3 linked regions of the Arabidopsis thaliana genome follow. The protein of the gene in region 1 interacts with the protein of each later gene in a biochemical or structural test. Each region holds a gene or a part of one and is shown on either strand. Other genes may lie near its edges. The genes, in order: DRB5, HYL1 and DCL3.

Region 1 (9,287 bases):
CAGGTCTTGTAATGGCAACATCATCATCCTTGGAAGGTGATGGTAATGGTGATGATGATGGTGGTGGTCTTATCATCATGCGTGTCGTGGACTCTATAATCTCCTCAACAAAATCTACAATCACTCCATCGATCCCCATCACATATTGCATGTACACTGCCTCTCCGACATTGCTGCAACACAATATTTGAAATAAGATTAAAATCTGATTAATCAGTGATCGGATCCAACAGCAATAAGGAAACAAACTTAAGGTCTTTAGACTTTATTAAGAAAAGTGAAGAAGGTTTACTTGAGTTTGCCGTATGTGAGGAGAGAGAGGTTAGATTCTTTGATCTTGCTAATGGCTGCTGGGTTCCTGAACACTCCTTTTACCTCTGAAACAATACCTTGAAGACCTCCTTCCAAGCAAACTTGAATGGCTTCTTCGAGCGAGTTTCTTCTCTCGTCATTGTGAATCTCGTTTCCCGCATCAGTCAGAAAGAAAACCTGGGTTCAGTTCATATGACATTGTTAAATCTTAAGTGATTTCTCCATGAAGAAGTCAAGAAGTTTTTTTTGGTATTTATCAAAGAAAAGAGCGAGAATGGAACATACAGGGTAAGTGCTCTGCAGTTCCCTAACAAGCTTAGCTGCATCTGGTTGGAAACTTGAGAAGATTACTGGTCTGTCTTTAGCATAATTAGAGACCACCTGTAGTTTTGTCACAGAATGGAAAAAACAGAAAATAATAAGTTAACAAGTCTCAATCAATCTAGATCCAACTTGGACCAGCAGTTTTAGGTCAACAGCATTGATACAAAAAGGTCTCAAGAGATCAAATTAATTGTGAGCACTTTTAACAAATGGTTCTATTGGACCCTAATAAATATTCATACTCCAACAAGAAAAAGAAGGAAGAATACGGAACTAGTATTGAGCATACCTGTAGTACTGATCTCAGGATATGGACAAGAAACTCTCGTTCATAGACGGTCTGATCATCAAATTTCAACTCGATATTGAACCCAAGAGTTTGTTCAACTTGTTCAAAAGCTTCTTGCAACGTACAAAGAGAATCATCCAAATCAACGTCCCATTTCAAAACCTTCCCTTCTTTAGATTTCCTCATCAGTGTCTTCCCTATTTTCTCAGTTTCCTTCTGAGGTCCATAAAGGAGAAACTCAGACAGACTCAGATCCGTCACTCTACTCTCATTAACAATACCCTGAACCATAACACACAAACACCAGATCCATGAAGACAAGATCCAGAAATATAAAACCAAGATCTATGAAGAAAGCAATGTAGACTTACATTTTCTTCAGAGTAGATGAAATCATCATGGAAAATGACAGGGCAATCATCTTTTGTCACCTACAAAAGAAAAACCACACAAAGCTTGGAATGCTTCTCTATGTGCCATCTCTCTCTCTTTCTTCAAATCTTCATGTTCTTATTTTTCATTTCAATTTCTAAGAATCTATAAATAGATATCTAAATCAGAATCTTCTTCCACACACAAAAACATAAACATAAAACCCCAATCCTCTGTCTCATTCAAATCCTAAAGTTGATTACATAGATCGGAGTACCAACCTGAACATCGAACTCAATGAAATCAATCGGATACTTAGCGGCGGAATTGAATGAAAGAATCGAGTTTTCTTTAACACCTCTCGCTCTCCGATCAGACGATTGCAACACATTCATACCGATTCCTCTATGTCCAATCACCGAAAACCCCGGTAACCTAAACGACGTCGGTTTGCTCAACTCTAAACCTGTAATCAAAGACAAGATCATCAGAAACGAAAACAGCTCAATAGCCGACGAAACAGAGAGAGAGAGACAGAGAGAGAAATACCTTCGGATAAACCGTAGACAGAATCCGGGAGGCTAGGGACGTCGGAGACGAGCACAGTTCTAAGAGCCATTTCTCAAGAGTAGAGATATAGAGAAGAGAGAGTAGATTAGGGATTTCGAAAACGTTTTTGTGTGAGGATTTGTGGGTGTTTTTTTGCAGAGTATTTATATTGAGAAAAAAGGGATATGAGGAAAAAGGAGGAAGGAGCTGGATATGCGTGTTCGAATATTCCATTCCACGTCAGCAATGTGCCTTTCTTGATGGTTTCTTCCCGCCTTTTGAGGGATCTGGTACGAACACAGAAGAGTACGGTTCTCATCTTATACGTGGCATTGAGTCATTGGGAGATTATGTTATCTTTTCCACAGCTTAGTCATTGTCCCGTTAATTATGAAATTTTGGTTTTTTTCCAAACTTAGTGAATATATTATTGGTTTCATTTTAAAGATTCCTGCCTAAATATATATTAAAAAAAAATACAAATTTGAAATTTCAGACTCAAAAAACAACAACAAAAACCAAAATAACCTAAATTATTGTGGAACAAAATTTGTGAAAATAATACGTAAATTGTTCGAGATATATCTTGAAAAGTGCGTTTGACATAAAGGAAAATGTAGTTTCATTCAACTCCAAATATGTTTTACACGTTTTATTAATGGTTTGAAATATTGTAATGCAACACAACTGTATAGTTGGTCAAATTTGCAGCAATTAGACTAGTAAGCTTTTTAATTAAAATAAGATTTACTGAGTACTCATCCACGAAATCTGACGAGTGTAATTACGCAATAGAGAGTCAAAAAATAAAATTACGCAATATAGGAATAGAAATAATTTATTTATTCGATTCTCCAATATTTATGAACCGTGATTTGCAAGACACAAGATTTAAAACAAGATATTAAAGGTGATTTCAAGATCAATATAACTGTTAGTTTAATCAATTCTGAGTAAAAAAAGATTATATTAAATTCTGAGTTAAAAAAGATTATAATTTAAGCTTGATTTGCAAGTTGAGAATCCGTTAATAAATTGTGATCCATTTTTGGAAATTGTGCTTTTGAAAAAACCCATTTTTGGAAATCAAGTAAATATGGATTGCATTTTAAAAATATTGTATCCACGAAAATCTGACGTATAATAATGCAAGATATACCTGTCAAGATAATGAGAAAATTGATTTATGGTAGGTTCGTGGATCAGATCAGATCCAACAACATGTTAGCTTTCTTGCTACTTGGATCCACGTCATAAATTGTCAGACGATTAAAAAAATTTCCAAGCCGAACAAGTGGCTGGTTAACTCGTTACCTCCTGTCCGGTTGGGGTAATATGGTTAGGTAGGTCACTAGTTTTATGTTTCGGTTTGTTACGGCCCACGTAAAAGTTAGATGGCCCCAAATTAATGGACCGGCCCAAATAATTGAGAAGCAATCAAGTCTCGTGGTCTGACCAAAATAATTTCATCAAAGTCAAAATATACCAATTTGAATATTTGAGCAAAATCCTGAGTTCCTAACAACATAGATTATACGGATCTAAATCGGATAATGACACAAACGTCATTCTCGCAAACCATAATGTTTATATGGTCCAAAATCTTTACACAAAGAAAAATGTAACTTGTGAAATTTATAATTTCGAATTATTAAGTTTATTTGTTGGAACCGACGTTACAGAGCAAAACCATTAATGATGAAGAGTGGGAAGCAGAGCAGAGCATTCGGCGCATTAATGGAGGAAGACAAAACAAAACCCATTAATTGTTTTCTTGCAAACTCCCATTTCTCTTCTTCATCTTCTTCCCTAATTAATGCTCTCTCTTTGTTTTCGTTCTCTGTGCAATTCGCAAGCATTCAAAGTTCATGTCGGACTTTTAGAAAATTCAAACACTTCAAAAAAAACAAGAACACATTCAAGAAACGGAAACATACTGGTCTATAATTTATCTATGTGACAAACACTTGACAAGGATTTAATTTGAGATTAACCCATTAACCAAATTTAGCTAACTATCATGGGTTTGATCCAAAATTCTCGATTCTGAACCAAGTTTGATCATTTCGCGAGTTAGATTCTTCTTCTCTTGGCCTCCCAATCCCGGCGTATTCAGAACAGAGCAGGAATTATTGGATGAGGTGAATTCATTGACTGATGATGATAATGATGATGGGTTAAGGTTGGGGTTTGGTTTCGGTGGTGGAGCTGCGAAAACTGGAATCACTGATCTCATTTGAACCGCTGGAGCCAGACTATAAGGGTTTACGCTACACCCTCCGACAAAGTTGTATCTGTTCATGTCGGAAAAGGGCATTTGCTTACTCAATCTGGTTGATGTTTCATTGACTTTGGCTTTGCTGTTGATCATCTCTGTCGCTGTCTCTGTCTTAGCTTCTTGTGATGATCTGTCTTTGTATTGCTGGATAAATGGCAAAATTTTGGAGGATTTAGGTGGTGGTGGTGGGGGAATTAGAGAGATGAAACTGGAGTTTTTGTGTTGATTCGGTGTTGATGTTGATGATGATGAAGAAGCTTGATTGGTCAAAAGATTGATCCATCTCAATCTCTCAATCAACAAATCCTTGTTTGAATCTTGTTGACTTGTTCTTCTTCTCCATTGGTTTGTTGTCTCTCGTCTTCTTACTTCTTTGGGTTTAAATCTTGAGAGTACTCTTGCTACTGCTTCTTGTTCCTTCTCTTCATCTTGTGAATCCAAGCTTGACACTGCACAGTAGAGAAACAGAAAAATGGTTTCAAGTAGAAAAGTGAGAAGCTTTTTTGGGGTTGATGGAACAATTTGGAAGATAGTTATATATACTTTTCTTCAAAGAGGACCAAGCTGCAATGGCTGCGTTTTTCTCAGCTTGTTTCTTTGTCTTTGCTGATTCTCCTGTAAACGTCATCCCAGCAAGTTCAACAGTACAAGAGAAACCTGGGAAGTGACAAGATCCTGATCTCACACTTGTGTACATTGGTAGATCAAGACCAGCTCTATGTGCTGTCTCTTGAAGCAGGTTCTTGTAAATCCCTGTCTCATCCTTGTATAAAGAGTGACATGAAGATATACGATGTTACTCTTTTTGCATTTTTTTGTGTATGATCAAAACCAAGAAGAAAAGACAGAGAACTTACAAGAATCTTAGCAGTTAGAGACTTTGAAGGGACTCTAGACGAAAGGACATTAAGGGAAACTTCAGCAGCTGCATGCTCAGCTTGTCTGAGAGTAGAACAGTAAGTGGGACTCTCAAATATCTCACCATTGAAGTTAACAGAAGCTTTGAATCTTGGAGCATGATCTGGTCCTTCTCTTATGCAAGTATATGATGGTAAGTTGAAACAACTTCTCTGTGCAAGCTCTTGAAGCTGATTCTTATACATTTTTTCCCCTGTAAATACACCAAAATCAACCAAAGTCAACTCCAGAAACCACAAATCTCTTTTGGTAAAGTCTTAAGAGAAGACAAACGAAAAAGCCGACCTGTTGAAATTTGGTATCTTAAGTTTTGGCTATTTAGTGTTTGAAAGTAAGTTTAAAGAAGAGAGAGAGATAAAAAAGAAAGTTTTTGCAGAGGTTTTTGAACTCTTCACTCACATGGTAAGGTACTAAAGGTTCTAAATAAAGAGTAGAAGAGGATGCTAAAACAGTAATAGTGACATCTCAATTGAAATAAGGTTAGTCTTTTTATATAATTTATAACATGTGCATACAAATAACAATTATGAACAATGCTATTGACTCTCTTTATTGTCTTTGTCTATGATGTTTGACTGGTCAGTTACCTTCGTCCTCAGTTAATAACAGTTATTTTTTCATAAATGTTAGTGAAAATGATTTAGTCTGATACTTTGAGGCACTTATTAATGTTTAGTTTGACCAATTTGTTGATTATGTTCATTGTGTTTTGTCTTTGTTCAATGCCAAAAAAACTTTATATTATTGCTAATCTTCAATTTCCTAAACCAAAAATGTTGGCTTGTGATGTTAAATCTCTAACCTTTAGACTTTAGAGCTTTGAAGAACAAATAAGAAGCCTTTAGAGCTCTTTTGCATTTATTACAGAGCCGTGCTTCAATGAAGACTATAATAAGAGTTGTCTGGTCTTCTGGTCCACTTGTCTGAAAATTCAGTTTCTGCAATTTTTATCATATGCAAAGTACAGTATGAAAATCGTCGGTATTCATTTTGTTTTCTCATTCTGTGAAAGATAAGTCATAGATTACACTAACACACAATGATTTACGATTTAAATGTCTGAAGAACAACTAAAAATACTCATAACATCTGAAAATATCACACCAATTCACAATTGATTCCCGTGTAAACACACAACACATCAATACATCAAACATTTAAAACACCTTTCAATTTTCTCTTAACCTGCTTCTAAGCTCTTCTTGCTGATAAGGCCATAACTTCTGGTGACATTTCCCAGTTTGCGTTCCTCGGGTGATTGTTTGGCCTATTGATTTGCTCATCACCATTCACTATGTTCCCCATGTCTGGTGATAACTCGTTTAACTCATTGTCGTTAACATGAAACCGTTCATTGTTATTGCCATCTTTGCCATCACCATGTTCAGCCATTGCCCAAACACCCTTCCTCCCCATTTCAATATCATCATTGGCCTTTCCCATGTTTGGACTCATAAAACCGCCAACAACTGATCTCGACGGCATTGGATTTTCCCTTGGTACCATAGCCCTGAAGTTGTTCTTTGAAGGAGGTATTGGAGAAAAAAAGATTTCTTTGAAGTTATCAACCACTCCTTTGTTATGTGGGTTGCTATGCCGATCATAACTGTATCTGAAATTCTCATATGTAGTCTACAGAATAAAGAAAGATCAAACGATTAAACACGCATATCGAATGAGAGAGGTTTTTTCAGAAAGAGGCAAATGATTAGGGTACCTGATTTGTGCTGATGAGATAGAGATGGAAACATGTTAAGCCTCCAACGAAGAATGTAGATATGAATGTGTAGAGTATCAGAGCAATGGAAGCTGGAGTTTTGAGCATTGCTTTCAAGATACTTATATCTTCGGACTCTTTGATCTTCTTTATGTAGACACAACAAAAGGCGAACACATATACACAGAGAAGAGTCGTGGAGAAGACAAACATGAAGAAGAATCGATAGTTTCTCTGCAAATTCCCAAGGAGAATGAGATGAATTATATAGACTGATGTCAGAAACTAACGGACAGGAAAACGAAAAACCGAGAAACTTACTTGAGCAATACATTGACCAACCCAAGGACAGTGATGGTCAAACCTTTCTACACAGTTGTTGCAAATCGAACAATGTGAGCAGCGAGGCGGTCTATAGAGCATGCAAGTATCACAGTACTTGACCTTGAATACTTTTCCATTAACTTCCACTTCTTTAACACGAGGCAATCTTGGAGTTTGGCTTGTTCCCGAGCCCGTGTTGCCATCAACAACTTCTGGTTCTGGAGGATGAGAATTTCTTGGGATAATCCCTGGATCTCTTCCGGATGTAAGCATCAGCAAAATCAAATCCTGAGGGAAGCATTAATTGTTATGAATGATCCAGTCACAAAACGTTTTACAATGCAAAGCTAAACTTTTGTACTCACATAAATGGTGAAGACAACAGCAACAAGGATTATTGAGACTCCCCAACTATCAGAGAAGTCATCCATTAGTTTGCTAGCGACGAAGATGCAGAAAATTGTAACAGGTGCCACAATAAGACTTATGGTCAGACCAAGTGATCTTACATCCGGCCCGAAGATAAACCTTCCTTGAAGACAAAATATCTGCAGAAATGGGACAAATTTAGAAAATATGTTAACACTTTGGGTAGAAGGATTTAAGGAACAAACCTCAAAATGTTTAATTCCACTAGGTTACTACTAAACCAGATTTAAATTCGACATTGAAAGCAATATACAGACAGCATCAACTATATAACCTTTGTATGAAGAAGCATTCCTATAAATGTAGCAAGCATATTCAGATAATGTCCTAAGGTATTGATTAAAGGTAAAGATTTCATGATTAAATGTAGACAACTACCCAGAAAGCTACACTTCTAACACAAACCCAAGTCCCAATTTTTAAGCTTTACAAGATTGGAAACAGAGTAAACTGAGCCCATGAACGGATTAATAATTAATTTATACACAATAATAGGAAAAATAACAGAAAACTAGCTCAAGTATAAACACAGAAGCAAGTAATTCCAAAACCTAAAGCTTTCACATTAAAACTCACATTGCTTCCTTTCCATGTTTGGTAAACCCGTAAATCACAATCGGATCCAAAACCGGATCTTTGAGGAGGCGTCACCACATACATCTCTCTCTCTCACTTTCTATCGCTTGCTCTCGATTTCTTCAAATGTAAGCAAAGGGGAAAACACTAAAACGAAGATAACGAAAGAAGAAAAGAGAAAGCTTTTCAGTCTCCGTTGAAGAAATTCTTTAGATTTCGGCAAGTCTCCGACATGAAAATGAGAGTAGTCAGAGAATTAGATTTGCTCTTGGCTTCTCCAACTTCTTCTTCTTCCTTCACTTTTTTTTTTTCCTGCAAATAAATATAATATTTTAAAAATCGACTGTTAGCAGCTACTGGAGTCAGTCTGTCACCGTCGTTTTAGTTCAGGTAAAGTACTTTTCAGAAGCTAAAAGTGAAGAACGAAATAAGCTGACGTGGCACTTTTCTAATGGTCTGTTTCCTTACCTTGAGTACTCGACCTTGTTATTCATAAAAGAGATTCGATAACGGAAAAGAAATTTAAACATTTTGTTTTACAGCGAATTTACATCTAATTTTTTTTATCTCTATTGTTTTCCACTTTTTCTCAACTATTGATTTATATGTACCTGCAAAAAAAAACTACTGTATAAATTTCGTATGTTGAAGAAAATAATGTTAAAACTTAAAATAATTTGTGAAAGGAAAAAATAAAGTTGAAAATAGAAATGATTGGGAAACAACACATAAAGTGGATGGAGTCACCTAGAAGCATTACAAGAATTTAAGGGCAAAAGAAAAAAAGAAAAAAAAAATTAAAGTAAAATCTGCAGCAATCTTACATGAAGAACAATTTCAAGCTTAATGGGCCTTCTTTAAAGCTCAAGCCCATATATTGTTTCCAACTGATGAACTTGTAATGTAAGCTTATCTTCTCTAGTACACTTAAACCTGAAATTGTTATGCAATAAAGTCTTATGCTGTTCTATAATGTGACGAACAAAAGTCTATAATGTGAGCTTATCTTTGTATAGTTAGTTAACCTGAAATTCTCTTTCCAGAATTCAGCCACAACCGAGAGTAAACCGGGAAAATATCATAGTTTGGCTTCTTGTATTGATATTTAAAGAGCCATATCCTCTGACTACTTTCTTGGTGTTTATGCTGATGAATTGATGATGTTTACACTTCACTTTCAGTGGTCCATACACATATAT
Region 2 (10,258 bases), on another chromosome or scaffold:
ATTCTTATTAATTAGTACCAATGTACTGAATGGCTTCCTTTACATCATATCTTTCTTTCAGTCTAATAAAAACTACAAATGAAAGCTCCAAAACAGAGTATCCAACGATTTTGTCAAAGAACTAAACACCCTGTCCGGTCCCTGCCACAGTTGCAACCTCAAGGGGTTTTCCGCAAACACTACTCACTTTGATCACCGGACCAACCTTACTGTTTACTTCACCTTTGGCTTTAGATTGCGAACCAGCTCCTCTGATAGGTACTACAGTTTGATCAGATGGTTTATCCATCAACTTTTGGTTAGTGGCACAATGAACTGCAGTCCGAACTACTGGAACTTTCCTAGGCAAGAGATTAGGGGACTGAGCCTGTGTAGCCTGCTTTCCCTGGCTAATCTCCAAGTTTCTTGAGGTTATTTGATGTGGCTGGATTGCAGCCGATGAGCTTGCTTCATTTCCACGAGCTTGCCCTTTCTGTCCACCATCTGGTTTGCAAGTGACAATCTCAGTAGCTGGGACAGAGCCTGCAAAAACTCTCTGATTGGAGACAATCCTTGATAGAGAAGCCAAGGGGGCGGAAGCAGAAAGCATTGAAGATCCTTCTGAACGAGGAGCTATGAGAGGAGGTTTGTTGGAAGATGATGAAGCCATAACAGGTTTCAATTTTCCATTAGCTAGAGACCGTATAGAGGCGGCAACACTCGTTCCTGGTTCAACCTTTGGCATGGAGAGGCTACCTGAGGGCTGAGGCATGCAGACTGTAGAAGCATGTTTTACAGGTTTAGTCTTTGGCACTCGTGGAGCATCAGTTTTTCCAGGTTCGACCTTTCGTCCTGATGCAGCAGTCAATACATCACCCATGCATGCAGCTGCAGCTACTGAATTAGCTGTTACCATAAGATCCGATCTGGAAGTGGAGCTTGCTGTTGTTTTTTTAACAACTCGAGACTTTGCAGCCGGAAGTGATGTTCCTGCCCGAGGCAATGCTTGAACAATTGGTTTGGACTGTTGTTGACCTTGAGAAGAACTTCCCCCATTCGCTTCCGTTTCTGTGATGGTACAAGATGACGTCGTTGGCATAAGACCTGCATAAAATGCAGTCTAATTGATGAACCAAATAAACAAAGAAAATTACCCAAATATTATAACCACAAACCCCACCGCAGTTAAACAGGTAAGCTAATTTCTGATTTAGACAAGCCAGTGGTAACCAAACCAAAGCATCCTCTGTTATAACATAAATACTAGAATTAGCAGGGAAGGATCTTCTGCTACTTGTACCTATTGCAAGCTTATTTGAAGGGGGCCGATTTCCCAGAGCTAAAGATAATGCATGGTTAACTGCTAGTTTCGCTTCAGTTCCTTGTAGGCCACATTGGCTAACAGAGGTCGAAGTGTGACACCTTTTTCTTATAAGCGCCCACCTCTACAAAGAAAATAGTCAGTTGTTACCACCAATAACGGAAAAAGAGTAAGCAATTGCAAAATGTCCCATGCTCGTCCAAGTAGCTAAAGTATTGTTAAGTTTTATCAGATGGAAAGTATATGCGTAAAAAATACAAAGATGGATACAAATATCATAAAACTTAGTCTTATTAGTCTTATTAGCTACCTTCTATGATTGCCAAAAGACTATTACTCATATCATCCAAAGAATCTGTTGCCGGGATTCGAACCCGGAAAAATGGGGAAAAACCCCACGTCCATACCAGACTAGATGACAACAGATATATTTCTAGAGTAATTACCAAAGTGGTACTTCGTCTGTAAAGAGCCACCACCTCCAACAACACGAAAGAGGGAAGGTAATATCCACCATTCATCGTCAACAGAATATAGATAATGATGCATAAACAGGTTGTAATACAAAGAACAAGACTATAAGATACACTACAAAATGACTTCAAAGAAACTAATGAAAAAAGAGCAGTCAATATTGAATAAGAGAAATCACAACCTGCGAGAGTTGGGAGGCGGTTCTCTCTCCTCTAAAGTCTCCCTTAACAATATGAGCCCAGTTCCCTTCACCACATCGCTTTACAGCGGCGAACAGCTCCTCATCCTCCTCAGCAGACCATCTTTTCCTTTTCCTCCGAAAAGCCATGCTAATACCAGCTGAACCATTTCCATTCATCCCCTCGGTAGATGTAACTTTCTGAAGACAGACCGGAAAGTTGATATTCATCCCTCTTGACGACCAAGGAGACTCTGATGGTTCCTGAGAACCCTCAGGCAAAGCATAAGGTATGTTTATAGTCAAGGGAGCCTCAACTGTTGAATCGTCGAGTATATCAGACTCACTTAGAACATATGAAGCAGCCATCACCTGGGAATACAAGAGAAACGAAAACTTAATGATATTTGGATAAAATGGGAACTCTGGATAAGCACAGATTGATATGCAGAACAAGTAACCAACACACTAATCATTAAGAAAACAGCAAGGTGTTATCCTGAATAGAGCCTAGGGACTTCAGATTCTGAAATTCTGTCAAGGGAATGAAATCTATGATTCCGTTCTTACTTTGACATGTGCAATAGCCTCCACTGATGCTTCATGGCTGACTGCAGGAGAAGCTTCCAATTCGCACTCCATGTCACTATCGTCGTCCTGCACAGGCAACTTTCGTTTAAAAAATCTGTAAACTACACCAGCGAGAGACACTCATCGATCCCTAATGCTACCAAGAAGTTTTAGTATCCACTGCCACATAGAACATAAACTAGTATTTCATCACACTCACTTCTAGATGATACTGATAACACAAAGTAGTAGTGAGTTTTTATTGAAGAAAACTAACTAACTCTACAACATAAACTTGAGTCTTTTACAATTCATCAAAAGTGGAAAGAGGAGAGACAGAATAAGTACCAGAGGTAGAGCATCATCTTCCACAGGGAGGAGAGGATGCCGATAAGAAAGATGACGCCATAGCAACTGGTACTCTCTAGCATTAGTAATTCCGGTAGTGGTCTTCTTCACCAACGCATTCCAGTCCATCTTGGTTTCGGAACAATAAGATATCTCCTGTAGCATTCTCAGTATCGTCTCCATATCATATCTGCGTCAATAAATCAAAAACCCCGGCCACACTGACTAAACCCAAATCCACTAACGTTTTCGGAAAGAGAAAACAAAAAAAGGAGATATTTTTACCTCAGCAAAAGAGTGGCGATGTCGCCTTCAGTAATGATTCTCTTCCTGCGATTGCTACTAGTATTATTATTAGCAACCATCTTCGTCGTATTTATTGCAACAATTCTGCAGAGAACAGGACAAAGGAATCAAATTTCACCAAAACCCGAGGGAGTTATAGACGAAACGAAACGACAGAGACTTACGCACGAGGGAATGCCCAAGAAAACCGGTGAAGACGATCGGAGAAGAAGATGGTCACGACTGTCGAAGAGCGTGGAGAGTACTCGCGTGGCAGAGGTGTTTCGGAAGAGAGAAGAAAAAAAAGGAACGAAAAGGAAGGTGGTAAATTCGACTATTATTATTCTACGCTTATCAGAAGCGAAAAGTATGGGCTCAAATATTTTTCTTTTCTGGTAAAGGGATATAGGATCAAGTGGGCTCAAATATGGGCTCAAATATTTTTCTTTTCTGTTAAGGGACATAGGCTCAAGTGGGCTCAAATATGGGCTCAAATTGTTTTTATTTTTTATTAAACGGTTATTATCATTATTGATGTTTACTTGGAGAACAAATTAATTATTTGTGAATACAAAAACTGTGTGAATATAACAAAGGGATTACTAGTGAATAAAGTTAGCCATAAAAAGGTTAATCAATTGTGGATATATACATTAGTTAACTACATATGAAATACGAAATTAGGCTATATGTAATTAGTTTTTTAATTAAATTAAATATTTCAAAGATAAAAACATTTTGCTTTCATATAATATTCACAAGTAAATTATATTTATGGAAAATTTGACCAAAAAGGTAAATTTATGGAATATAATATAATTTATAAAGGTTTGAAATTAAATTCAATATTAACATTTGTAACATAACAATTAAGAACCACCTTCTTTCGTTTGCCCTTGTGAAAAAAAAACAAAAATAAAAATCAGTAAAGAGGAGGAAGTCGAGGGGAGAGGGTTTTTGGTGAAGAAGAATCATCTCTCTCTCTCTGCTTCTTCGCAGCAGCAGCACGTTTCTTTCTTGCTCTTCGCCGTGCCCTACTAACCTATTATTCGTCTCTTCAGCTACATTCTGCTCGTGAAAATGACCTCCACTGATGTTTCCTCTGGTGAATTACTTCTTCTTCTTCTTCTTCTTCTTCACCATCATGTCTGCATTATCTCTAATTCAACATTCATGGGTTGTTTTTTCCGGGTTTTAATTTTGAAACCAGATCATGCTTTTTCCCCTTTCTTCTGTTCTTTACTCACTTCTTTCTTCTTGGAAATTGGATTGCAGTGTTTTGATTAGTTAGAATTTACAAGTGTATCTGTCCCTTGTGGGTTTAAGCGTAGATCTCTCTGGCAATTGGCAAGTTTACTCTTTTGAGATGATGATTTATTGACTCAATTTGTTAGGGAACATAGAAGCTTGGTTTAAAACTGTCTCTCCCCTTTTGGATAAGTATAGTTTCTTTGTGAAAGTCGTCAGCTTTATTCAGAACTCGTTCACTGCTGTTCCCTGTTGTCGTTTTGAGTTTATTTGCAATTTATGCTGTAGTGGATAGCATCATCACTGTTTCTGTTTTATCTTTTGCCTCATTTTGAAGTTTTTTTCCTGCTCAGGTGTTTCCAATTGCTATGTTTTCAAAAGTCGGTTGCAGGAGTATGCTCAGAAGTACAAGCTCCCAACGCCTGTTTATGAGATCGTTAAAGAAGGCCCTTCACACAAATCTTTATTTCAATCGACTGTGATACTGGATGGTGTCAGATATAATTCTTTGCCTGGATTCTTCAATCGTAAGGCTGCAGAGCAATCAGCTGCCGAGGTTGCTCTCCGGGAATTAGCAAAATCCAGTGAGCTAAGCCAATGTGTTTCACAACCTGTTGTAAGCACCTCATCTTTCTTATTTCGCTCGTGATTATTGTTAAGTTCACTGCAAAACTATTGAACCTAGCCTAGGGGTTTAGCAGCGAATTGTAGCTTTGCCATCTCAGCAGTAGTCCTTATGCTTAGTTTGAGCGTTGAAGGTTTAAAGGGAAGCTCATGGTTAGTTTCAGAGTTGAAGGTTTAAAGGGGAGCTGTGAGAATACGTTAGGGGGCATTCTGTATTTGTCTAGGCTCTTGGTTGGACAATGATCGAGATTCAAGAGTTTAAAGAATCCACTCATTAATAAAGTGTCTTCTGTCTTATCGGATTTATGTGTATTGCCAACTTCTAGAGGGAAGATTCTTAGGCTGTTTCTGTAAGTTATTGCTCTTGTCTAACTTTGAATGGCTTATTAATGCAGCACGAAACGGGATTATGCAAGAACCTACTTCAAGAATACGCTCAAAAGATGAATTACGCGATTCCATTGTATCAGTGCCAGAAGGTCGAAACTCTTGGGAGAGTTACACAATTCACATGTACTGTAGAGATTGGAGGCATAAAGTACACAGGAGCTGCAACAAGAACTAAAAAAGATGCTGAGATTAGCGCTGGGAGAACTGCTCTTTTAGCGATCCAGTCAGACACTAAAAACAACCTTGCCAACTACAACACTCAGCTTACTGTACTTCCTTGTGAGAAGAAGACAATACAGGCAGCTATCCCGCTTAAAGAAACCGTCAAGACTCTTAAAGCCAGGAAGGCTCAGTTCAAGAAGAAAGCTCAGAAAGGAAAACGCACAGTAGCTAAAAATCCTGAAGATATTATCATCCCTCCTCAACCTACTGATCATTGTCAAAACGATCAGTCAGAGAAAATTGAGACAACGCCAAATCTGGAACCTTCTTCATGCATGAACGGGTTAAAGGAGGCAGCATTTGGGAGTGTGGAGACAGAGAAAATTGAGACAACGCCAAATCTGGAACCTCCTTCATGCATGAACGGGTTAAAGGAGGCAGCATTTGGGAGTGTGGAGACAGAGAAAATTGAGACAACGCCAAATCTGGAACCTCCTTCATGCATGAACGGGTTAAAGGAGGCAGCATTTGGGAGTGTGGAGACAGAGAAAATTGAGACAACGCCAAATCTGGAACCTTCTTCATGCATGAACGGGTTAAAGGAGGCAGCATTTGGGAGTGTGGAGACAGAGAAAATTGAGACAACGCCAAATCTGGAACCTCCTTCATGCATGAACGGGTTAAAGGAGGCAGCATTTGGGAGTGTGGAGACAGAGAAAATTGAGACAACGCCAAATCTGGAATCTTCTTCATGCATGAGCGGGTTAAAGGAGGCAGCATTTGGGAGTGTGGAGACAGAAGCAAGCCACGCATAACAGTGTCAAGATGGAGTCTTGTGAGTTTGTCATAGTTACTATATGGTTACGTAGCCATTTTGTGATTCCTATCTAGTCTAGTAGTAATTCACAGATTGAAGAGAAGTAATATTTGAGCGGAAAATCAAAACTAATATGATTGGTACAATTTGGTGGTCGATTGAGTCATTCGAATAAAGTAATGTGGGGTTGCAAAACAGAAGCTTCATATCTACATATAAATGAAAATTACTCTCAAACTTCATTATTTGTGGGCCGGTTATAAAAACACAAACCCAACAGAAGGTCCATTACCCTCACTCTTCATTATTTGTGGGCTGGTTCTAAAAAACAAAAGTCCAATAGAAGGTTCATTACCCTCACTCTTGATTATTTGTGGGCTGGTTCTAAAAAACAGAAGCCCAACTTGCTGACCCAACAGGTCCGTTTACGAAACCCTAATCTCAAAACAGAGATATAAATACACTCTGCCTTCCTCATTTCATTTCTTCGGCGATCTAGGGTTTTAGTTGTCGCACGAGGAGGAAAAATGCCAGCGGGTCATGGAGTTCGGGCGAGAACGAGGGATCTGTTCGCGAGGCCATTCAGGAAGAAGGGTTACATTCCACTCTCGACTTACCTGAGAACCTTCAAGGTCGGCGATTACGTCGATGTGAAGGTGAATGGTGCGATCCACAAGGGTATGCCTCACAAGTTCTACCACGGTCGTACTGGTCGTATCTGGAACGTCACTAAACGCGCCGTCGGTGTTGAAGTCAACAAACAGGTCTGATGAACTCTCCTATCTCTTCAGCTTTTGTGTCATTGAATTAGGATTTGAGCTTCTTAGTGTGCTATTTGGATTGTTGATCTATTGCTTTGATGTAGAAATGTGTGATTGAGTATAGGTTTGTGGAATGTAAATCTTCTTCTATGCTACAATTGAGCTCAGATTTTGAGTTTTAGCTCAAAGATGTTATCTTCTATTATGCAGTAGCGTGGTTCGTGATCCTGTTTCAGATTTGAAAGTTGATTGCTTTGGTCTCGTTTAGTCTTTAGCCTTAGCACGCAGTGTTCATATGTTCCCAGTTATTCAATACTTCAACTCGTGTTCATTAAACTGCTAGTGTGTTTTCTTTCATGACTATTTAATTGTTAAACTTTGGCCTTTTTTACTCATCTTGTTTTTATAAGTCTCTCTATAGATGTTACTGTGTAATATGGATTATGGATTATCCTATGACAATAACACAAATCTTTTTGCTAGTACTACTTATATTGGGTATTATGACTGACACATGTTGGGGGTGTTTCAGATTGGCAACAGGATCATAAGGAAGAGGATTCATGTGCGTGTGGAGCATGTGCAGCAATCAAGATGTGCTGAGGAGTTCAAGCTGAGGAAGAAGAAGAATGATGAGCTCAAGGCTGCAGCCAAAGCCAATGGTGAGACCATCAGCACCAAGAGACAGCCTAAAGGACCCAAACCAGGATTCATGGTCGAAGGAATGACCTTGGAGACTGTCACTCCAATCCCGTACGATGTCGTCAACGATCTCAAGGGAGGCTATTAGTTCTATCTTCCCAGTGTTTTGCAGTTGTTGCTTCCGTATTTGAGTTTCTCTTCATGTGTCTTAGCTACAATTTCTGTAGAATCTCCAGATATTTTATGAAACAGATCTTTTTATCTCGTTTATAACTATCATTTTCATTATCTCTTCTGTTACTTACATTTAACATCTTTATTTAGTGATTAGTCAAATTCTTTGGTGAACAAATTTTCGAGATTATTTAAGGAGACATTTTCCTTCTAATTATAGCATCTTACAATATAACCTAGTCGATGTTGCCAAGTGCCTTTCTGTTACAGTCTTCCTCGATTCAATTCGAAATAATAACGCATTGAACCGGAAAATTAAACGCTAACCAAAACGAACCAGCTTCGCAGAAGTCCGGTTACTCATTAAGAACCCGACTTTTCATTCAAAAGTCACTGCCTACTCACTGGAAATAGCCGGTTCCGGAGAAATTGAGAGTCAGAGTCTCAGAGATGTTCAGAATCGAAATTCTAAGATGCACACTCTCTCAATCTCACCCACAGAGATTCTCTCGTGCATCATTCCTCTTGTCAACATGGTACTCTCAAGAATCTGTCTCCGCGGCAGACAACGACGATGACCCAGTTCTTGTTAAACTCTCAGTTGCCATCAGAGATTCTTACAAGGATCCGCCGTTGGAGTTCTCTTCGTTCACTGACTGCCCCTCTATCAGAAAGGTCCTGCCTTCGCTCAGCGTTCATCATGTGGTTGATCTCATCAACCATAACCCTCTCTCCCTCCCACAACGTTCTATCTTCGCTTTCTTCAAATTCATCTCATCTCAGCCTGGATTTCGTTTTACCGTTGAGACTTACTTCGTCTTGGCTCGTTTTCTTGCTGTTCACGAAATGTTCACCGAAGCACAGTCACTTATCGAGCTCGTCGTCTCTCGTAAAGGCAAAAACTCAGCTTCTTCAGTTTTCATTTCTTTGGTAGAAATGAGAGTAACACCTATGTGTGGTTTCCTTGTTGATGCTTTGATGATCACGTACACGGATCTAGGTTTCATACCCGATGCTATTCAATGTTTTAGGCTATCTCGGAAGCATAGGTTTGATGTTCCAATTCGTGGCTGTGGCAATTTGCTTGATCGGATGATGAAGCTGAATCCAACTGGGACTATTTGGGGATTCTATATGGAGATTTTGGATGCTGGGTTTCCCTTGAATGTGTACGTTTTCAATATTTTGATGAACAAATTCTGTAAAGAAGGCAATATATCTGATGCACAGAAGGTGTTCGACGAAATTACTAAAAGGAGTTTGCAGCCTACAGTGGTTAGTTTCAACACTTTGATAAATGGGTATTGTAAAGTAGGAAACTTGGATGAAGGGTTTAGGCTCAAACATCAGATGGAGAAAAGCAGAACACGCCCAGATGTTTTCACCTATAGTGCCTTGATTAATGCATTGTGTAAAGAGAACAAAATGGATGGAGCACATGGCCTGTTTGATGAGATGTGTAAGAGAGGGTTGATCCCAAATGATGTTATTTTCACTACTTTGATTCATGGTCATAGTAGGAATGGAGAGATTGACTTGATGAAAGAAAGTTATCAGAAGATGTTAAGTAAGGGTCTGCAGCCTGATATTGTTTTATATAATACTTTAGTAAATGGCTTTTGTAAGAACGGGGATTTGGTGGCTGCAAGGAATATAGTTGATGGAATGATTCGTAGAGGTCTGAGGCCCGACAAAATTACATACACAACTCTTATAGATGGATTTTGTAGAGGAGGAGATGTAGAAACAGCTTTGGAGATAAGGAAGGAGATGGATCAGAATGGGATAGAACTCGATAGGGTGGGTTTCTCAGCCCTTGTTTGTGGAATGTGCAAAGAAGGAAGAGTCATTGATGCTGAAAGAGCTTTAAGAGAGATGCTGCGAGCTGGTATTAAACCGGATGATGTAACCTATACAATGATGATGGATGCATTCTGTAAGAAAGGTGATGCTCAGACCGGTTTCAAATTGCTCAAGGAAATGCAGAGCGATGGGCATGTTCCTAGTGTTGTGACGTATAATGTTCTGCTGAATGGTCTATGCAAATTGGGACAGATGAAGAATGCTGATATGTTGCTAGATGCCATGCTTAATATAGGGGTTGTTCCAGATGACATCACATACAACACTCTATTGGAAGGTCACCATAGACATGCAAATTCATCGAAGCGTTATATACAGAAACCGGAGATAGGTATTGTAGCTGACTTGGCTTCTTACAAATCAATAGTCAATGAGCTAGATAGAGCTTCAAAAGATCACCGGAACAGATAACTTCCGACTGT
Region 3 (12,876 bases), on another chromosome or scaffold:
TAACAATATTGCCATATTAGATTTTTATCCGCGGTCTACCGTGGGATTATATAATTTTTTTTAAAAATAAAACATTTAATTTGTTTAGTAGATTAAAAATATATATGATTTAATGTTTTTTATTTTCTAACTATACAATTCTTATATCTATAACTTTTTAGTGTAAAATTACTCTATTAGATTTTGTTTAAAAATATGGGAACAATAACATACAGTTCATTATGTTAAAATCTAAACTATAACAATAATTAAAATTGAAATTATATTTTTTGTTAATATTGTTTCTTTTGTATAGTGTTTAAAATAATATAATTGTATTTTGATTGTTATATCTAGAATTTCACCCGTGATATACCGTCTCAATTTACTATTGACCAAACCCGTCCTACCATCTAATGAATTTCACCCATGGTATACCGTCTCGTATTACTATCGACCCAAACTCGTCCTATCATCTAACCCCGTGCAGTGAAATTAAACATTATCTTATTATTTTTGTTTAAGTAATATTTTAATTTAAAAGATATATACAATTCAAATCAATTTAAAAGATATATAATTCAACAGATATCGTAGAGTAGAAATCTCGGAAAATGTATGTTGGGAGTAATTAGTTGATGAAAAAAATCTCAGATTATAGATATGTGAATAAACCCGTGTAGAAAGTTTTGAAGAGATTTTTGGAAACGTTTGTTGAGCGCAATATAAAATTTTTAAATTTTCAAATCTGAATAATTAATACCAATTAGATATATTGAGAGATTTTTGGCAACTATTATTGAATAGAATATTTCGTATTTAATTAGCAAAATAAAATATTTAATGCCACTGGCATGCCATTGTAAATAAGTGTCAAGTACATGATTTATTTGCTAAAATGGTTGCAAAAATGTAGGTGTAGATTCCAACCGGCCGGATCGCGTGTTATCCGAATTTGACTGGATATAGATCCGACCCATATATCCAGAATCCGTGTGTCAGAATGTGTTAAATTGCCCATTTTACCCCTTGACGAAATCTCTTAGTTTGCCTTAGTTTGAGAACATTTTATGTAATATTTTACCCTTTATATAGTTATTTATTTTTGAGTAATTTCCAATTAATATTATAGATCAAACTGTTTCTAACTATTAAGTTAGTGCGTTTTGTTATCTATTCCTAACCTTAAGTTAAATAAGACATGCTTTGTACACTGTTTTCTTGGTGAATAGAGAGGAAAATTCACTTTAGCATTTTGATATATATGGATTTAGTTTTGTGTGTTAAATCTATGAAGGTATATGATACTCCTGTGGAGGTGTGGAAAACTTTGTTATCTTTTCTGTCGATTCTATTCTAAATTTGGATAATCTCTAGCTAATGTACATTAATTGCAACAAGTTCTAGTGTCTATAATAAACTCTTTCATCACTCCCTCTCTAAGTAAAAATTAGATTATGAATCTTAGGTTTGGTTAAAAGGCCAACCAATTCTTGTATATAGGGACTCTAACCATGTGTCTGATCTATGTGATTGATTTTTCTCCACTAAAAATCATTTTCTAATCAAACATATGATTCATGGTGGTAGTAGATTCTTCACTAGCTAGCGTAGCTTCTTCTTATGTGTTGAATTTTGTCTCCCAACTGAGTTGGTCATTCTCCGTTTTTTTATATTTATCTAATTATTTTTAAGTTGGATTGTTAATGAAATTTTATTTTATGTTGATAATGTCGTTCAGCTGAGTCATGTTGGAAAGGTAAAACGTAATATCTCTCTGGGATGTACAATTATGTACTTGTTTAGTTAAATAAATATTTAAACTTTTTTGGATTTATTTTTGCATTAAACAAAACAAAAAAAAAAAACCTAAAACGTAATAGACGACTAATTTGAACATTAAATAGTGACTCGTTTCGTTGCTTCAGATAATATTTGGTAGATCACACCAGATTGCAGAGCATATTCTCTCATATCCCAAATTTTCTTACTTCCAATAGTCGATTTCGTCGTATCTAAAACGATTTAGCTGCGCAAATTTATGTTGAATAAACAAAGCAGTGGAAGAGGAAAAAGAAGTTAGTTCTAATTAATCTTTCGTTTAAGTAAATATATAGATCTTTGGGAGACGTAAGTTTTTATTGTTTATCTCTTATATAACCTACACTTTTAGGCTCCAATGAATCTATGACTTATTGTACAAGAAAGTTATGGACATGGGTTGGTTACATGATTACATAATGGTTTGTTTAGTTCTACGTTTGTGGTCCATTGTTACAAACTTTGTATGAACGTACGTGAGTAGGTTAATTAGTTTTGTACTTACGTTCCTTACTTCCCTGATTCTTGTAGGTATAACTAAGGGCAACGACTTTCTCCTCTAAGCTCAAATCTTTCCGTTCTCGATATTTCTCCTTACATGAGAAGGACAAAGATAAGGCTTTAATGAAGCAAAAATCGTTGAATCCTCTCTCTTCTTCTTCACCAAACTACGACGAGATGATTCAAGAGAATTTTAAGCCACATTGGATCATTGGGATTGACCCTAACTTATCCGGAGCTTTGGCTGTGCTGAAATTCGACGACAAGGGATCTTGTTTTGCTCAGGTGAATCGCTACTAATTAATTTTCGAAAAGAATATTGTTTTTCTTCTGAAACCCTAGAACTGTGAAACTACAAGATTCTAGGGTTTGTGAAGTAAATTAAGATATTCCATTGGGTAATCTCAGGACATGCACTTGGTTAGTCATAAATTATATATACAAGGTTCGATATTTCATTGGGTAATCTCAGGCAGATGGACTTGGTTTATCATAATTTATATATACAAGGTTCGATTGTTATCTATAGGAATTATATGAATGAAATTAATATTGGATGATAGAAGATTTACAACTAATTAACCTGTTTGTAACTATTGAGTTAGTGAGTTTTGTTATCTATCCCTTAAGTTAAATAAGACATGCTTTGTAAACTGTTCTCTTGGTGAATACAGTGGAAAATTCACTTTAGTCATTTTGATATGGATTAAGTTTTGTGTGTTAAATCTGTGTGAAGGTATATGATACTCCTCAGTTGGAAGTTGTAGTTCAAAACATCCGAACACGTAGTTTCAACGAAAAATCAATGCTAGAACTGATTCGTAGTCTAGATGTTCCATCCGGTAAGAACGATATTTCACTGTGTTTTTGTTGTGGCGTGTTCTTTGCGTTATGTTTAAAATCAATTTGGTCTCTTCACTGTTGTAGGAACCAAGGCATTTGTAGCGAAATATATTCATCCTGAAAACGCTATTGTAAAAATTACTCATCTCTTTTTTTTTTTACTTCAGTACGTTTATGATATGGATTCGATACACTGAAACATGATTGTGTCTTTATATCTTAGACTGCCTACAATGATGGACTTGGATGTGGATTATGGACACTTCTCACATCTAGCATTTCTGTTATTTACGTTACTCCTTCTACATGGGACAAACATTTTAATCTTAGTATTTGGAGTTTGGTGATGAATCTTAACTCTCAAACTTTTATGATTTCATGTCTATCCTCACATCAATTGCAATAAAAATATTTGCTTTTCTCTTCGTAGGATGGTGGCAGGAAACTCGCACTGGAAATGTTTCCATCACTTAAATTGACAACGAAAATTGACGACAATGCTCGAGCTAATGCACTACTCATTGCTGCATATGGTCATGCTACAAGTGATACAAGATATTACTCATTTTCTCAAATTAAGTGACATATCTAACATGTAAAAATGAGTAATGTTTTGGTGATTTCACTTATATATTGCATCTCTTTCTCTGCTCCTTTGGCTTTCAGAAAATTCTTCACTAATTAGAAAAAAATATTTTGTTTATTCTTTTTCCGTATTCAAAATCTCTCAAAATTTGGTCATTTTTCGATTTCTATATTTATCTAATTTTCAAGGTGAGAGTTGTTAATGTAGTTTGGTTATGATTTAACCCGACCGAAATCCTCATGACCTAACAAATTATAAATAATCTCTGACAAAACAAGGTAAATTGTCTCGGGTTGAAAGAGACATTAGAATTAGATGATATTAACATAAGTCAGCCCCTCTTCTACATTTTTAGCTTTCTTTTAGTCGAAAATCATTCCAAACTCGGAACATACATTGTGGTGTTTATTTGGGAAGAAGTCCACGCTAAAGTATTTTAGTACATTTCTACCAGATTACCCGGATAAATAAAAAAAGCGAAGTTACTTACAACATGAAACAGCTTGCACATTGAAGAAAAGTAATCAATCAGCAGTATATCCAATGAATCTATGCATCTTGTCAGGTCCATTGGGCCTTAGAGGCCTAAATATTTGAAGAAAGAGTAAAATCAAAAATAAAGTATCGAAAAAAGGTAACCCAAAAATTAATATAGTTTGACTAATTTTGTTGCAGTTTTTTTTTCTAGTTAAAAATTCAACATTCGAAACTCATGTTCTGACCTCATTTATACACTTGCCCAGTGGTCAGTGCAGAAAAAGAGAAAAAGAATCACCTTTTTGTTTTAATCTCAAAGTCGAAATTCGAAATTCCTCTACTCTTCCCGTTAAGTGTGTTCCTTTTTATCCGTTCGTCATGCATTCGTCGTTGGAGCCGGAGAAAATGGAGGAAGGTGGGGGAAGCAATTCGCTTAAGAGAAAATTCTCTGAAATCGATGGAGATCAAAATCTTGATTCTGTCTCTTCTCCTATGATGACTGACTCTAATGGGTATCATCATCTTCCTCTCTTTGTACTTGATTTTGGGTCTTATGGGTTTTTAGTCTTTTTCACTAAAGTTTACTTTTTTTTTGGCAGTAGTTATGAATTGAAAGTGTACGAGGTTGCTAAGAACAGGAACATAATTGCTGTTTTGGGGACAGGGATTGATAAGTCAGAGATCACTAAGAGGCTTATCAAAGCTATGGGTTCTTCTGATACAGACAAAAGATTGATAATTTTCTTGGCCCCAACTGTGAATCTTGTTAAACAGGCAAGTCTCTTGTTTGATTGTAAAAAGAAAAACTGTTTCATTTGGATTTTAATCATTTTGAGTTGATGATGTTGGCTAATGAGTCGCCTTGGGAGCTTATTTTTGAATGTTTTATTGGTGTGTGTGGTTTTAGCAATGCTGTGAGATCAGAGCACTTGTGAATTTGAAAGTTGAAGAGTACTTTGGAGCTAAAGGAGTTGATAAATGGACATCTCAGCGCTGGGATGAGGAATTTAGCAAGCACGATGTAAGTTTCTGTTTCTTTTTGTGTATATTTGGCTAGTTATACGCCAACAAAGTGACTTGCTTGTAGTTTTGGTGATTTTATATCAAAATTTCTTTGTGTGGTTAGTGAAACTTTGGCAGAATGTTGTAATCCACTTTGACCAGCTCATTGTTGTATTTTGAGTCATGAATGTTCTCTGAGTTAGTTAAAAGCCCATTCCAATTTGTTACTTTTGGGGTTGGTTCTTCTTCCAATGCTGATTATTTCTTAATTATTTTGTTTGAACTTGTTTGCTTGAGCCCTTGACGTAGATTTGTGACTGCATTGATCTCACTAACAGAATCACATACTTCTCTTTTGTTGCCGAATCCACGTGAGTCTATTATCTGCAATGAAATTATGTTTTGTATGGTTCAGGTTTTAGTTATGACTCCTCAAATATTATTGGATGTCCTTAGAAGTGCATTCCTGAAACTAGAGATGGTATGTCTTCTAATAATAGATGAATGCCACCATACCACTGGCAATCATCCCTATGCGAAGTTAATGAAGGTGTGTTTTCTCAGTAATGATAAGCTCTATTAGTTTTTTCATAATAGAGTTTCCATAACTTGTCAACGAACTAGATTCTTTCTTGTTTTCATGAAGGAATTCTATCACGAATCCACTAGCAAACCGAAGATATTTGGATTGACTGCGTCAGCCGTCATTAGAAAAGGCATGCTATTTAAAAGTTTCTTATTTCCTCTGTATGCCAAACCAAAGATCCTGCTTCCTGTAACTACTTTTTAATGTTTGAACTTCATGTAAGGAACATAAACTCATACTACAAGTGTTTCCTCTCCCTCTAACTATGCAGCTCAAGTATCAGAACTTGAGAGACTCATGGACTCAAAGGTACTTTGTTTTTGTGTAACAAGGAAACAGATATAGTTTACAAATTAATGCTATGCAATCTTACTTTGAATTCAGATTTTTAATCCTGAAGAGCGTGAAGGAGTGGAAAAGTTTGCTACAACGGTTAAAGAAGGTCCAATATTGTATAACCCATCACCATCCTGTAGTTTGGAATTGAAAGAAAAGTTAGAAACTTCACACCTCAAGGTATATAATATATGCTCACTGAATATGATCCAGAACATGACTCTTTCCTATTATGTTTCAGAGTGCTTGAAAAATATTCTGTTTTTTTTCGTACAGTTTGATGCTTCTCTTAGAAGGCTTCAAGAGTTGGGAAAAGACAGTTTTCTGAATATGGATAATAAGTTTGAGACATATCAAAAGAGATTGTCTATCGACTACAGAGAGATTTTGCATTGCCTTGATAATCTTGGCCTGATTTGCGCACACTTGGTATTTTTCTACCAGTTTAGTTTTTATTACCAGTTCTTCATTTGCTTACTCATTGTTACTTTTTTCTCCCGCTAGCATACCTGTTGTGCTGATTATTTTTCTTTTTTTTTTCATCTTGCTTTCGCGATAGGCGGCTGAAGTCTGCTTGGAGAAAATCTCAGATACGAAAGAGGAAAGTGAAACTTATAAAGAATGCTCAATGGTGTGCAAGGAATTTCTTGAGGATATTTTATCCACCATTGGGGTGTATTTGCCGCAAGGTAATGTATTCAAAGCTCTATATTGCATTGAGTCCTCTTCTAGTCACTAATTTTTACACTGTTTATCATTTGTGTTATTTAACAGATGATAAGAGTCTGGTAGATTTGCAGCAAAACCATCTGTCAGCAGTAATTTCTGGGCATGTATCTCCAAAGCTAAAAGAACTCTTCCATCTATTGGATTCCTTTAGGTAAATTTAAATTGTTTATCCAACTCCCAAAATTGCACCAAGATCTCCATCTGTTCTGACAATTTCAATTTGCTTGCAGAGGTGACAAGCAAAAGCAGTGCCTTATTTTAGTTGAGAGAATTATAACTGCGAAAGTGATCGAAAGATTCGTTAAGAAAGAAGCCTCTTTGGCTTACCTTAATGTCTTGTATTTAACCGAAAACAACCCCTCCACCAATGTATCGGCACAGAAAATGCAAATTGAAATCCCTGATTTATTTCAACATGGCAAGGTTACCTGTTCTTCATCACAGTCAGATGTTTTATAGATTGAGAAATGTTTTTATTTTGTCTTCTCTGAAAGCTTTTTAATGCATGTAGGTGAATCTTTTATTCATCACAGATGTGGTTGAAGAGGGATTTCAGGTTCCAGATTGCTCATGCATGGTTTGTTTTGACCTGCCCAAAACAATGTGTAGTTACTCGCAGTCTCAAAAACATGCCAAACAGAGTAATTCTAAGTCTATCATGTTTCTTGAAAGGTAGGAAGCAATATTTATTTAACACAAAATGTTTACCAAATTCCAGTTTTTGTAGCTTATTTCTGAATACTAATTATTGTAGAGGGAACCCGAAGCAAAGAGACCATCTGCATGACCTTATGCGAAGAGAAGTCCTAATTCAAGATCCAGAAGCTCCAAACTTGAAATCGTGTCCACCTCCAGTGAAAAATGGACACGGTGTGAAGGAGATTGGATCCATGGTTATCCCAGATTCTAACATAACTGTATCTGAGGAAGCAGCTTCCACACAAACTATGAGTGATCCTCCTAGCAGAAATGAGCAGTTACCACCGTGTAAAAAGTTACGCTTGGATAACAATCTCTTACAATCCAACGGCAAAGAGAAGGTTGCCTCTTCTAAAAGTAAATCATCTTCATCGGCTGCAGGTATGTTTTCTAATTTATTAATTCGTCAATTAGCTGGTGTCGCTGATTTTAGTCTTTAGTTCCTCTATCAGCCGCTGTTGTATCACACACATACACGCACACATCAGCAGTTGCATATCATATGTCTATGTCTAAGGTCATGGAGCTTGTCTTAATTTGTTTATTTATGTATACATTTCTTTTTCTTTTCGCTGAACAGGTTCAAAAAAACGTAAGGAGTTGCACGGAACAACCTGTGCAAACGCATTGTCAGGAACCTGGGGAGAAAATATTGATGGCGCCACCTTTCAGGCTTATAAGTTTGACTTCTGTTGTAATATTTCTGGCGAAGTATACTCGAGTTTCTCTCTTTTGCTTGAGTCAACTCTCGCCGAGGATGTTGGTAAAGTTGAGATGGACCTTTACTTGGTCAGGAAGCTTGTCAAGGCTTCTGTCTCACCTTGTGGCCAGATACGTTTGAGTCAAGAGGAGGTACATAACTCTGATCCCTAGTTATAAACAGTTTCTTGTTTCATGGTTTGAACTTGATGTCTTCTTCTTTGTGTTTTGGATGCAGCTGGTCAAAGCAAAATATTTTCAGCAGTTTTTCTTTAATGGCATGTTTGGAAAGTTGTTTGTTGGATCTAAGTCACAGGGAACAAAGAGAGAATTTTTGCTTCAAACTGACACTAGTTCTCTTTGGCACCCTGCCTTTATGTTTCTACTGCTACCAGTTGAAACAAATGATCTAGCTTCGAGTGCGACAATTGATTGGTCAGCTATCAACTCCTGTGCCTCAATAGTTGAGTTCTTGAAGAAAAATTCTCTTCTTGATCTTCGGGATAGTGATGGGAATCAGTGCAATACCTCATCCGGTCAGGAAGTCTTACTAGACGATAAAATGGAAGAAACGAATCTGATTCATTTTGCCAATGCTTCGTCTGATAAAAATAGTCTCGAAGAACTTGTGGTCATTGCAATTCATACTGGACGGATATACTCTATAGTTGAAGCCGTAAGCGATTCTTCTGCTATGAGCCCCTTTGAGGTGGATGCCTCATCAGGCTATGCTACTTATGCAGAATATTTTAACAAAAAGTAAGTGATATTCTAGCTTTGGCTGTTCTTTCAATCTACTTATCATAACTCTCTAGTTAATGTTATTCCCTTTTAATCAGGTATGGGATTGTTTTAGCGCACCCGAACCAGCCGTTGATGAAGTTGAAGCAGAGTCACCATGCGCACAACCTTTTAGTCGACTTCAATGAAGAGAGTAAGTTGATTCTTGAGAATTTCTCCAACATATGGAATCATTGTGTATGTTCTCATGATATTGTAGTGTGTGAGCTCTAAGATGTTGTTTCCAATGTAAATGGACAGTGGTTGTGAAGACAGAACCAAAAGCTGGCAATGTTAGGAAAAGAAAACCGAATATCCATGCGCATTTGCCTCCAGAGCTTTTGGCTAGAATTGATGTACCGCGTGCTGTGCTAAAATCAATCTACTTGCTGCCTTCAGTGATGCACCGCCTAGAGTCTCTAATGTTGGCCAGCCAGCTTAGGGAAGAGATTGATTGTAGCATAGATAACTTCAGTATATCAAGTACATCGGTATGGTTTTTGAAAACTATCTGTCATTTAGAGATGAAACTAGATATCTTGATTGTCATTAAACTCTTGTCTTGGTTCAATAAATCAGATTCTTGAAGCAGTTACAACACTTACATGCCCCGAATCATTTTCAATGGAGCGGTTGGAACTGCTCGGGGATTCAGTCTTGAAGTATGTTGCGAGCTGTCATCTATTCCTTAAGTATCCTGACAAAGATGAGGGGCAACTATCACGGCAGAGACAATCGATTATATCTAACTCAAATCTTCACCGCTTGACAACCAGTCGCAAACTACAGGTATCTTCTAACATTTGCAAGTAATGTCTTACATCAGTCAGAACACCAAAGAAATATCTTTCCATGGGGATTGGTTTGATAGGGATACATAAGAAATGGCGCTTTTGAACCGCGTCGCTGGACTGCACCTGGTCAATTTTCTCTTTTTCCTGTTCCTTGCAAGTGTGGGATTGATACTAGAGAAGTACCATTGGACCCAAAATTCTTCACAGAAAACATGACTATCAAAATAGGCAAGTCTTGCGACATGGGTCATAGATGGGTAGTTTCAAAATCTGTATCAGATTGCGCTGAGGCCCTGATTGGTGCCTATTATGTAAGCGGTGGATTGTCTGCTTCTCTCCATATGATGAAATGGCTCGGTATTGACGTCGATTTTGACCCAAACCTAGTCGTTGAAGCCATCAATAGAGTTTCTCTACGGTGTTACATTCCTAAAGAAGATGAGCTCATAGAGTTGGAGAGAAAGATCCAACATGAATTCTCTGCAAAGTTTCTTTTAAAAGAGGCTATCACACACTCCTCTCTTCGTGAATCCTATTCATACGAGGTATGACTTCATCATTTTCAACCCCTGCATTATTTGGCTGACTTATTCCCAGGTTTCCAACCTCATGCTATCATTTTTTTCCTCAAACAGAGATTAGAGTTTCTTGGCGATTCTGTACTGGATTTTCTAATAACCCGTCATCTTTTTAACACCTACGAACAAACTGGGCCTGGAGAGATGACCGATCTTCGTTCTGCATGTGTAAACAATGAAAATTTTGCGCAAGTTGCAGTGAAAAATAACCTGCATACCCACCTTCAACGCTGTGCTACGGTTCTCGAGACTCAAATAAACGACTATCTGATGTCCTTTCAAAAGCCAGATGAGACTGGTAGATCAATCCCTTCAATACAGGGCCCTAAGGTAAAAAATATACTTGCATGACCATTTAAAGTCCCTGCCTGAGATTTCAGATTATAAAGAGAGCAAATAGGTTGACATACTTGTCTATTTTGGTTTAGGCTCTTGGAGATGTTGTGGAGAGTATCGCTGGAGCATTGCTGATCGATACGAGGTTAGATCTCGATCAAGTGTGGAGAGTCTTTGAGCCGTTGCTTTCTCCACTTGTAACTCCAGATAAACTTCAGCTTCCTCCATACCGGGAGCTCAATGAGCTATGCGACTCTCTTGGGTATTTCTTTCGAGTGAAATGTTCAAATGATGGTGTCAAAGCACAAGCCACGATCCAGTTGCAGCTGGATGATGTTCTTTTAACTGGAGATGGATCTGAACAGACAAATAAACTGGCCTTGGGAAAAGCAGCTTCACATCTGCTTACACAACTTGAGGTATATATATTCTGATGTTTCCACTTGCGTGTGTGTTGGTGTGTGTGCTCAAACTTTCTTTGGTTCTTCAGAAGAGAAACATTTCACGTAAAACCTCGCTCGGGGATAATCAAAGTTCCATGGATGTCAATCTTGCTTGCAATCATAGCGACAGAGAAACTCTGACTTCAGAGACTACTGAAATCCAGAGTATAGTGATTCCATGTAAGCACTGTTATTTACCTAGAGAGATTCTTCTTTTCTTCTTCAGTTTTTTTTTTTTTTTGTATCAAGGGTTATGCATTTCATGGTTTTATGTGTTTCAGTTATTGGACCTATAAACATGAAGAAAGGCGGGCCTCGTGGAACTCTACATGAGTTTTGCAAGAAGCATCTGTGGCCAATGCCTACTTTCGATACCTCGGAAGAGAAATCCAGGTGACTTCTCATTTTGGTTCCTTTTTTCTCTGCTCTCATGTATCCCGAGTCCTGACCAATCTGAGACTGATAACTGCACAGAACTCCGTTTGAATTCATAGATGGCGGTGAGAAGCGGACTAGCTTCAGCAGTTTCACATCGACCATAACCCTAAGGATACCCAATCGTGAGGCTGTGATGTATGCTGGAGAAGCAAGGCCTGACAAGAAGAGTTCCTTCGACTCTGCAGTCGTGGAATTGCTTTATGAGCTCGAGCGCCGCAAGATCGTCATAATACAAAAGTAGACTAATTTAGACTGTACTATATATGATTCACATTTAGTCATCTCGAGCAGATCTTGGAAATGCGAGAACTCCCAAATAATAGTTTTGTATCTGAATCTCTAATTTATATGTTAATTGTTATGCCTTAATGATAAGCTCATAGACATTACTACAGTTGAAGCTACTAACACGTTTTAGCATCTCGAAACCTTTCTCGGATCCGAGAAACTGAATACGTTTGAATACAGTCTTCCCGCCTTTCATCACCGAGTCCGCTGCTCGGAGCTTTTCACTGTGCCTCGAGTTGGTGTGAATAGCTGCTTTGAGTTCTTCCTCGGACATGTTTTCCTGCGACAGTACATACAACACACAAAACTACTTTGAAAATGGTTTCGTCAACGAGATACTGGCACATATGAGGACATTGCTACCTGATAGAATGCATAGATGTTTTGGAGAATCTGCTGACATGTAAAGCCGGTTTCACTGAAATACGACCTGGAAGAAGGTCCCATTTCACCATACCAATCGATTGGAAGTAGTAATGTTATAAAATGGTTTTTGTATACCAACTCCATTCTCTCACTGTCATGCCATAACAACAATAAACAACATGAGCTTTATAAACTTAAAAGAGTAGCTTGGATCTCAAGTTACATAGATGAAGTAGAACATAGGAACCTTTCTGTGAGCAGTCTCATGGAGTGAGTGAATGAATCATTAGATTTAGCATCAAAGAAGGCAGATAAAGATTTTCTTTCGATATCGTCGTTGTTGCTGAAACTATCTATGATAACACTAGCTGTTGAAGTTGGTTCAGATATTGTCCAAGAGATAGAATCTAGAAGGCTGCTCAGATTTAACGGCTGGATCAGAGTCTTCCCCATCTGTTTTATGAACAAAGAAAATATAGTTCGGTTTAGCGATTGCTCGGTTTTCGAAGATGAAATAGAGAAAAAGATGAAATGCCTTTGCGTGGCGATTTGTGACAGTCTTTTTGGCGGATTCCACAATCTTCTGCCTTTCTTT

The links.
Region 2: the proteins of DRB5 (region 1) and HYL1 interact in far-western blotting, tested with the Arabidopsis thaliana proteins (one study listed by BioGRID).
Region 3: the proteins of DRB5 (region 1) and DCL3 interact in far-western blotting, tested with the Arabidopsis thaliana proteins (one study listed by BioGRID).

The regions. Positions count from the first base shown.
Region 1 is NC_003076.8:16,434,487-16,443,773, reverse strand, and holds DRB5 (dsRNA-binding protein 5), read right to left. Parts: upstream 5,510-9,287; 5' UTR 5,328-5,509; intron 5,236-5,327; 5' UTR 5,228-5,235; coding exon 4,982-5,227; intron 4,888-4,981; coding exon 4,668-4,887; intron 4,574-4,667; coding exon 3,858-4,573; 3' UTR 3,719-3,857; downstream 1-3,718. Other genes in the region: GDPD2 (PLC-like phosphodiesterases superfamily protein), read right to left, coding at 1-173, 293-489, 598-693, 926-1,207, 1,297-1,356, 1,579-1,763, 1,847-1,916; AT5G41071 (uncharacterized protein), read right to left, coding at 3,523-3,705; AT5G41060 (DHHC-type zinc finger family protein), read right to left, coding at 6,234-6,674, 6,760-6,993, 7,081-7,371, 7,449-7,631, 8,089-8,172. UniProt on the Arabidopsis thaliana protein: Binds double-stranded RNA. May be involved in RNA-mediated silencing.
Region 2 is NC_003070.9:3,134,096-3,144,353, reverse strand, and holds HYL1 (dsRNA-binding domain-like superfamily protein), read left to right. Parts: upstream 1-4,000; 5' UTR 4,001-4,235; coding exon 4,236-4,260; intron 4,261-4,756; coding exon 4,757-5,019; intron 5,020-5,422; coding exon 5,423-6,394; 3' UTR 6,395-6,705; downstream 6,706-10,258. Other genes in the region: AT1G09710 (Homeodomain-like superfamily protein), read right to left, coding at 122-1,083, 1,160-1,424, 1,956-2,324, 2,523-2,609, 2,871-3,060, 3,156-3,235; AT1G09690 (Translation protein SH3-like family protein), read left to right, coding at 6,924-7,160, 7,690-7,947; AT1G09680 (Pentatricopeptide repeat (PPR) superfamily protein), read left to right, coding at 8,424-10,247. UniProt on the Arabidopsis thaliana protein: Double-stranded RNA-binding protein involved in RNA-mediated post-transcriptional gene silencing (PTGS).
Region 3 is NC_003074.8:15,748,963-15,761,838, forward strand, and holds DCL3 (dicer-like 3), read left to right. Parts: upstream 1-4,585; coding exon 4,586-4,719; intron 4,720-4,806; coding exon 4,807-4,981; intron 4,982-5,114; coding exon 5,115-5,228; intron 5,229-5,624; coding exon 5,625-5,759; intron 5,760-5,855; coding exon 5,856-5,929; exon of another isoform or gene 5,930-6,040; coding exon 6,041-6,104; intron 6,105-6,179; coding exon 6,180-6,311; intron 6,312-6,407; coding exon 6,408-6,560; intron 6,561-6,690; coding exon 6,691-6,820; intron 6,821-6,905; coding exon 6,906-7,011; intron 7,012-7,090; coding exon 7,091-7,283; intron 7,284-7,371; coding exon 7,372-7,532; intron 7,533-7,614; coding exon 7,615-7,940; intron 7,941-8,139; coding exon 8,140-8,411; intron 8,412-8,496; coding exon 8,497-9,017; intron 9,018-9,097; coding exon 9,098-9,192; intron 9,193-9,299; coding exon 9,300-9,529; intron 9,530-9,617; coding exon 9,618-9,827; intron 9,828-9,909; coding exon 9,910-10,377; intron 10,378-10,467; coding exon 10,468-10,740; and 9 more. Other genes in the region: AT3G43910 (MutS2), read left to right, coding at 2,425-2,586, 3,038-3,143, 3,229-3,275, 3,368-3,487, 3,575-3,727; AT3G43930 (BRCT domain-containing DNA repair protein), read right to left, coding at 11,986-12,195, 12,279-12,432, 12,529-12,734, 12,817-12,876. UniProt on the Arabidopsis thaliana protein: Ribonuclease (RNase) III involved in RNA-mediated post-transcriptional gene silencing (PTGS).